Cricetulus griseus: one gene and its partner. The protein of the gene in region 1 interacts with the protein of each later gene in a pairwise test. Links are inferred from orthologs where the notes say so. Each region holds a gene or a part of one and is shown in the gene's direction. Other genes may lie near its edges.

The links.
Region 2: the proteins of Dync1i2 (region 1) and Dynlt3 interact in binary tests that used the Homo sapiens proteins (3 or more experiments, as listed by UniProt). The two-hybrid records come from large-scale screens. The link is inferred for Cricetulus griseus from reciprocal best matches to the Homo sapiens genes DYNC1I2 and DYNLT3.

The regions. Positions count from the first base shown.
Region 1 is NC_048599.1:103,968,060-103,971,708, reverse strand, and holds part of Dync1i2 (cytoplasmic dynein 1 intermediate chain 2), read left to right. Parts: intron 1-2,403; coding exon 2,404-2,521; intron 2,522-3,649. UniProt on the Homo sapiens protein: Acts as one of several non-catalytic accessory components of the cytoplasmic dynein 1 complex that are thought to be involved in linking dynein to cargos and to adapter proteins that regulate dynein function.
Region 2 is NC_048604.1:115,453,023-115,457,120, reverse strand, and holds the start of Dynlt3 (dynein light chain Tctex-type 3), read left to right. Parts: upstream 1-1,244; 5' UTR 1,245-1,359; coding exon 1,360-1,389; intron 1,390-3,408; coding exon 3,409-3,450; intron 3,451-4,098. UniProt on the Homo sapiens protein: Acts as one of several non-catalytic accessory components of the cytoplasmic dynein 1 complex that are thought to be involved in linking dynein to cargos and to adapter proteins that regulate dynein function.

The DNA.
Region 1 (3,649 bases):
CTATATATAACAGTTTGAGTAGAGGATTTGGATATACTTAATGTTTATTGTGAGATAGTCACGGAAATATATTTACTGAGCAGTAGATTTGATAGTATCAATAAGCTACTTTAATCTTCTGATTTTACTTACCACATACTGTAATATATAAATATTACAAATATACATTAGCTCTGAGCTGGACATATTTTACTTGTCCTGCATTAACATTTATACATTAAGTCTCTATTGCAGCTCTTGAGGAAGATTTGTTTACCTGTATCACAGATGATTTCAAATGGCCAGTATACCATAACTTGACCTAAGTGTGCCTGTTGGACAAAGTTTATGTATGTAAATGCCAGGGTTACAACAAGACTAGCAGATATCTCTCAGGAACTAGAGAAAGAGCATTGGCAGAAAAGTGACTTAAAAGTTATGTGCAGCATTGCCATGACTGTAATTGAACAGTTTCCTGTCGCCCCCCCCCCACCTTTCTGTGATATACAGAAAAAAGGTTGAAACTTTGCATTAGATATTTGATTAGTAGCTAATGGCAGAGTAGATTCAAATAGTATTTATAACCTTAAACTATTCAATAGTGAAAGCAAAGTTGATTTTTATTCTTTACAGGTGTCCGTAAGTGGCCTCTAAGGAATAATGGTTATGTGATTGATTTTTAACTTAAAATCTTTAAAACGTGATGAAACAATAAGCAGCGAGTCTCCTATATTGCACACAGTGAGGCATCAGCTTGATAACATCGTCTCTTTTGCTGTATTCTGATAAAAATAAGTTAATGTGATACAAAAATATTGTGACTGGTAAAATTCATTCAATATAAGTAATAGTTGTCTACTTGGAAAGCTTTTCACTGAAAGCTTAAACTTTACTCTAAAAATGTTGAGATTTGTCCAGTGTAGCTGGAAGATTTTGCTAAAATTATATATAAATGGCTAAAATAAAAGTTGGCAGCTGGGTGTGGTAGTGCACACCTTTAATCCCAGAACTTGGGAGGCAGAGTTCCGAGTTTGAGGCCAGCCTGGTCTACAGAGCAAGTTCCAGGACAGCCAAAGCTACAGAGAGAAACCCTATCTTGAAAAAAACAAAACAACAACAACAAAAAAGTTGGTAAAAAATTTTGTAACACAAATGTTTTGTGTTACTTAAAAAAAAAAATTGGTTTTAATTGTCCCAGATATGTGTTTGTTTTTGTTACTAAAATATGACCTGAAAGCTGGCCTTAGTGGCACTTGCTTGCAACCCTAGCTACTTGGGAGATTTAGATAGGAAGATCTCGAAAGTCCATAGAGTTGAGACCAACATGCATAGCATGGGGGAAAAAAAAAAAAACATAAAATAATAATAAAAACTTAAAAAATGAGTTTTCTCTAGATTTTTTTTTTTTTTTTAATTACCGCTGTGTGAGTCCAGAAGAGAGTTTAACAGCTGGAGTTAAAGGTGTTGTGAGTTGCCAGACATGGGTGCTGGGGATTGAACATGGGTCCTGTGCAAGAGCAGTGTGGACTCTCAACTATGAGTCATCTCTTCAGCTTCTTTAGAAGAGTTTTTGATAAAATTCTTTATATAAACTCATTGAAATTTTTAAAAATGGTTCTTTTGGGTTTTTTTCAACAAAGCAAATTGTCTATTTACTTATATCTTAATTTCCTCTAATTTTTCCCTTCTGCCACACTTATATCTAAGCTTTTGTACCACTAGGGTTGGAGACTTCCATGATTCCTGTCCTTGGTGTCAATACTATAGAGAATTTGAAGTTGACTGCTTTTTAAAAATGCACTTGCTTTTTAAAATGTTATTTATGCATTTTAAGACAGACTCTTGCCATGTAGCCTTGGCAGATCTGGAACTTATATGTAGACCAGGCTATCCATGAACTGGGCAAATTCTCTGCCCACTGAATTCTGGGATTCTAGGCATGAACTACCATTCCCAGCCTTTTTGAAAATATATTTGTGGAAATGCCTTGATTATATATATTATATAAACATCGATCCAGTGATGATGATTTATAAAAAGAACTTCATATTAAAAACTAATTTTATTCTAAAAGTTTGTAGTTATAACTTTGATTTTAAAATACTTTTATATGGGACTGGAGAGATGCCTCAGTGGTCAGTTGCACTGACTGCTCTCTTAGGGGAATGGGTTTGACTCCCAGTACCCAAATGGCAGCTCACAAACATTGACAGCTCTAGTCCGGTGGGAGGTGCAGGGGGTGGGGGGGACACAGCTTCTTGTTTTGGCATCCATGGGCACCAGGCAAACGTGGTGCACATATATAACATTCAAGCAAAACACTATACACATAATGTAAATAAAAATTAAAAATTTTAAATAAAATATTTGTATAAATAGGAGTGTGTTATACATAAACTTGAATTTCTAATTTAAAACATTTAGACTGATCAGAAGAAGGAAGCTGCTGTTTCTATGCAAGAAGAATCTGATCTTGAAAAGAAAAGAAGAGAAGCTGAGGCACTGCTTCAAAGCATGGGGCTAACTACAGATTCCCCTATTGGTAAGTATATCTACTTATGGGTGTTGAGCTTAGATATATCTGAGCTCAGTGTATTGGTTAGATATCATTTGCATATGTTCTTTGTCTCAAAAACATTAATCTTATCATTTGCTTGGATTTCCTTTTTTTCCCAGATATATTATGTATAGTTATTTTATTTGTTTGAGAAATCAAGATTAATACCTACTAACACAAACCAAGCTACCAAATTGAATTTTCTAATTTAAATGAGTAACTTACTATTCACCATACTATGTTAAACTTGAAGATGAGTATTTCCTAATCTTAACTGTGAGCTCCTTTTTGTAGGCTAGGGAAAGATAATACCAAGTCAAAGTTATATCACTAGTACTCAAAAGCAAAGGAGCAGGAAGAGAAATCTATAGTATTCTCTCAAATCAGTAAGAGGCATAATCCTGGCTGCCTCTCTTGACAGTCATTTCACTTGGTCTTGTTCTTTTCCTGGGTTATTCATTTTGATAGTTATATTAGACAAGTAGACTGTGTAGAGATACTGAGAATGATCTAGTTATACATCAGAAAGCATTTAATGCTTACTTAAGTAATGTAGTTCTGTGTTGGGTGCTGCTACAGAAAATGTATTTTAGTGTGACAATGACCTTTAGGGACCTGGCATTTCAAGGTTAGTTTTTGAGCTAATATCTTTGTATGTTTGTGTGTGTGATGTGTGTTTTTTGTGTTTGCAGGTAGGTGCCATGCATGTAGAAACCAGAAGTGTAGTGAGATGTTTTACTCTTTTGGCTTTTTTGGGGGGCCAGCCACCTAGCTCCCAAATAAATACACATGGAGGCTTATTCTTATTTATAAATGTCCAGCTTTGCTTGGCTTGTTTCTATCTCCTCTACTTTTTCCCTGTGGGCTTTTTTCTTTCTTACTTCTGTGTATCTTACTTTCCTTCTTACTCTGTGGCTGTCTGGATGGCTGGGTTACTGGCCCACGATGTCTTCCTCTCTTTGTTTTCTCGTTGCTCTTCTTCCTCGTTTCTCCTTCTATTTATACTCTCTGCCTGCCAGCCCTGCCTATCCTTGATCCTGCCTCTCTATTGACCAGACTCTCAGCTCTTTATTATACCATAGGTGTTTTAGACAGGCAAAGAAACACAACTTC
Region 2 (4,098 bases), on another chromosome or scaffold:
TCTTCAGCCCCAATTACAATTTTTTCCAGTACTCCTGCATGAGCCATAATAGAGAACCATTAAAACAAAACCCATGCCATCAAGTTAACAGCTCTATTTGATTCTAAGTTCTTACATAGAGAGTGGTGAATTGGGGGACCTGGGATTAATGAACCCAAGGGTTCAGTTAACAGCTGTATAGGCTTTACAAGTCACTTCATCTCTCTTTAACTCCTGGTTTACTTGTAAAATAAGAGAAAGGGATTAGAAAACTAATGAGCCTTCTGACTTTGCTACTGGAGAACAAAATAGAAGTCACTGTAGTGGGCTGAATGTTGCTCTATACCAAACACATCCACATTTGAATCCCAGACCCTGGGAATGCACTAGTTAACTTGCATGGCAAAAAGCATTTTTGTGGATGTGGTTAGCACGTATACCTCGAAAATTATGAAATGATATTTTGTTGCTTTAAACCATTGTATCTGTGGTTATCTATTATAGCAGTAACAGGAAACTCACAGTAGTGTTGAAGCCCTTGAGCTTTGCTATCAGAATATAGTATTTGAACTGATAGACCTCTTCTAACACATTCTGTATGTAAGGCTTTGGGCAAGTCATTGAAAATCTCTGCATTCTAGCTGCATCTTTAATACGGGGACAAAGGGAGTGCAAATCTCAGTTACTTGGAATTTGAAGAAAATCTCAGAATCAGCCACAATTTAGTAGTCCTAAAATAAATGTAAACAGAGTGCTCCTGCTAAGGTTTATAATTCAATTTAGGGCATTTGCTCCTGTTTCAAAAGTTTTATATTTCTTTTTTAAAAAAAAGTCTTGAAAGAAGAGGAGCATCAACTTTAGTTGTGTAGAGTATCTTTTTGATCCTTATAACTAGTTACAAAATAGAGGCTATTGTCTACCATTTGAGAAAATTGAATTCGGATGTTTGTTCACTTGCTACATTCATTTGCTGGATAGCTGTGGATGAAAATTGTGTGCATAGGACCACAGCAGTGATACCTAAATCACTTGTGCTGAATCTAGCCTGGCTGACACAAGGTCACCCTAACAAATCCCCACAGATGCTGTTCCAGCTCTTTACTTTCAGAAGACAGGCATGGTCAGATGTGCATTCTAGGCCTAGGAGCTACCCGTAGCTGCGTTAAGAGGATCAACTCAACCAAAGCCCCTCCCCCCTGACCTTTGGCCCCCACCCCCTCCCGTCCTTGGAAGGTTGCTTCAGTGCGACACAAAGGCGGGGCCTACGTAGACAAAAGCCCTGGGCCAGAAGTGGAGGCGGGGCCTCATGGGAGGTCTGTGAGCCGCTGCTGAGCTCTCGACCAGAGCTTTGCTCCGCCCCCGGGGACTGCCAAAGCCACCATGGAGGAGTACCACCGGCCCTGTGACGAGGTACCGCCCCTCCAGAGCCGGGAAGCGCCCCTCGCCCTGGTTATGGGGACGCTATCGGGTGGTCTCTTAATGCTTGCAGAGTTGGGATGCGGAATCCCGTGAACCTGAGTCTGCTCCGCAGGACCGGGATCTTTCTTGCCCCTCGGCTCTCTGTCTCCCCAACCCTGAAAGCCTGAGGGTGGGCTAATTGGTCATCGCGATGGCCTGGGTGACAGAAAGCTCTCGGGGGCAGTCTGCAGGGTCTAGGAGGACCCAGTCGGTGTAAGGGGGAGGCCTAACTTGAGGTGCCTGGGCGGGCGTTGGCGAGCCCCGCCCGTCTGCGATCTGGGCCTGGGAAACCGGTTTTTCTCTGTTTCCTCCACCCTTTTGGGTCTCCTTGAGCCGCCGGTGCTGCAAGGTGGCTCTGGTCTTGGGAACTCTCCCCAGGCACGACTAGAGGAAGTGCTTTAAGAATTAAGAGCCCTTGCTCACTGATTCAGGTTTCCCTAAGCCTCACCAGAACTCTATGATGTCAGTGATTTTCCTGTTACTGATGGGAACTCTGACTTTTCATGGCGACCAAGTGACAGGTCCTAAATTAAAACTGCTAGGAGTGACCAATGTTCCATTGGAACCCAGGTGTCTGACTTTACACTTCAGCCCATATTTCAGGATGAGGCCTGTTGAATTGCCCCACAACCTATAAGAGTTTACAAGGACGGAGTAGACAGACATTTTCTGTCCAGTGGTAGCCACTGGTGAGTGATACAAGAAAATGAAAGATGAGATGGTGCAGGCACAATGTAATATGATCTTTGTAAAGGGCTTGTCCAAAGGGTGAGTTTCTGCAGAAGAATCTGTGTTGCAGAGAGCATGCATATGTATAGGTCAGTCACATACTAAAGTTAGAATTAAGGACTTGTCCCCCAAATTACATGGTTAGCTCTTTCTCAGATTTACCTCTTAGCAAGGGTGCAAGGGAATCTTTTCTGCACTACTTCCTAAATACATGTAATTTTAAAAGAAATAGGAATGGAGAGATAGCTCATAGGTAGAGTGCTTGATTAGCACATTAGAAGCCCTGAGTTCCATCCCCAGCACCAGAAAAAAAGATGGAAAACCAACATACATTATTCGTGTTTTCCTGGCCAACTAAACATTCCAAATTGTAATGAAATGTGCATCATTTATTTCTTAGGCCAATTTTGGGTGTGATTTTGAAGCAAAAATGACTATAACAGGTCTAAAATATGAGACCTCTTTTCAAAGCTCCTCTAAGTTTGTAGGGGGTGGGAAATTTTATAGGATAATTAGTAGAGTTAAAATATGAAAAATCTATACTTAAAACATAACTTTAGAATTTACTTATTTCAACTAGTTTTAAGTTGCATAATGGCTTTTGGAAATCATATATTAACTAAAGCATCCTGGTTTATATTTTGTTCTTATCACGTAACCTAATTTTACACTTAAGGACACTTAGGTATCATTGAAAATTGCAATTAACCCACGATTGTAACAAGCTGCTACCCCAAAAATGAGAGACCAACTTATACAATTAAAGTGACATTATTTTGAATGGCAGAGTATTGCCATAATCTTTAATTTGGAAAAGCAGTGGGTTTGTCTCATATCAGTTGAAAATAAAATTGGCAATGACAATTTAGCATACTCTTTTTTTATGGGCCACTTGATCTACCTGAAATGATTTCCTGTATACTGATAGCACACAATAGAAATCATAGCTACTGCCTGCTAATTTCTTGAGCTTTGCTAATGCAATGATTATCTAGAATGTTCATTAGAAGCGCTGTTGTGAAAGCACTTTTCAAAATGGTATTTGCGTATGGCCTGCCCAATCATAATGAATCTGAAACTACAGGGAGCAGGGTTAGCAACTCAGGAGACCTGATGTCCCTAGCACTGTGGTCTTCTGTCACTATCACTTTCTTAGGCCAGCTGAGGGCATCCTGTATCTCGCCATATCTATAAATAAAGGGAAGCCTTACTGAAAGCAGTTTTATCGTGTTTTCTCTTTAGGTTGGCTTCAATGCTGAAGAAGCACATAATATAGTCAAAGAGGTGAGTTATATTTGCTGTTATCTCCAAGCTTGTGTGGATAGAAAAAAATTATATCCAGGTTTTGATTTTTCAGGTCAAAGCTAGAAATATTAATGATCAAACACCAAGATTTAAAATATTTATTCACTCTTTGTAGGGGTGTGTGTGTGGTCTCTTGCATTCAGGGAGGCCTATTTGGACCTTCTCTGAAAGACATGCTGAAACAATGTTTCAAGTCTGCAAAAAGTAAAGAAGCTCTTTTTTGAATCAATTTTAGCTAAGGACCTTTACTGATTCTAGTGTTAGCAATATAGACCAGCCTGTGGTTATCAATATAGCCTCCCCTGGGGTGTGAGGTTATTAATATAGACTACCCTGGCGGTGAGGTACTTTAAGAACACTCTTACAGCCCAGAGTCATCATTAACTCTGCCAAATCATAGGTAAAAACGCTGAGTTGGCCCACAAGGCTTGCTTTAGTTGTGGGTGTGGCTCTTGGGGCCTATGTCCTAGCAAGCCCTGATTGAGTTCTGTCTGGGCTGCATTGGCCCCACCTTCTGGGCATTGTGTGCATATGTGCCACCAATTCACCTTGCACAAGTGCTCTAAGGGCATCATTTTATCCAGAGCTCAGCTGGCCTGACCCTGTGTGAGTAGGACCAGCTCGACA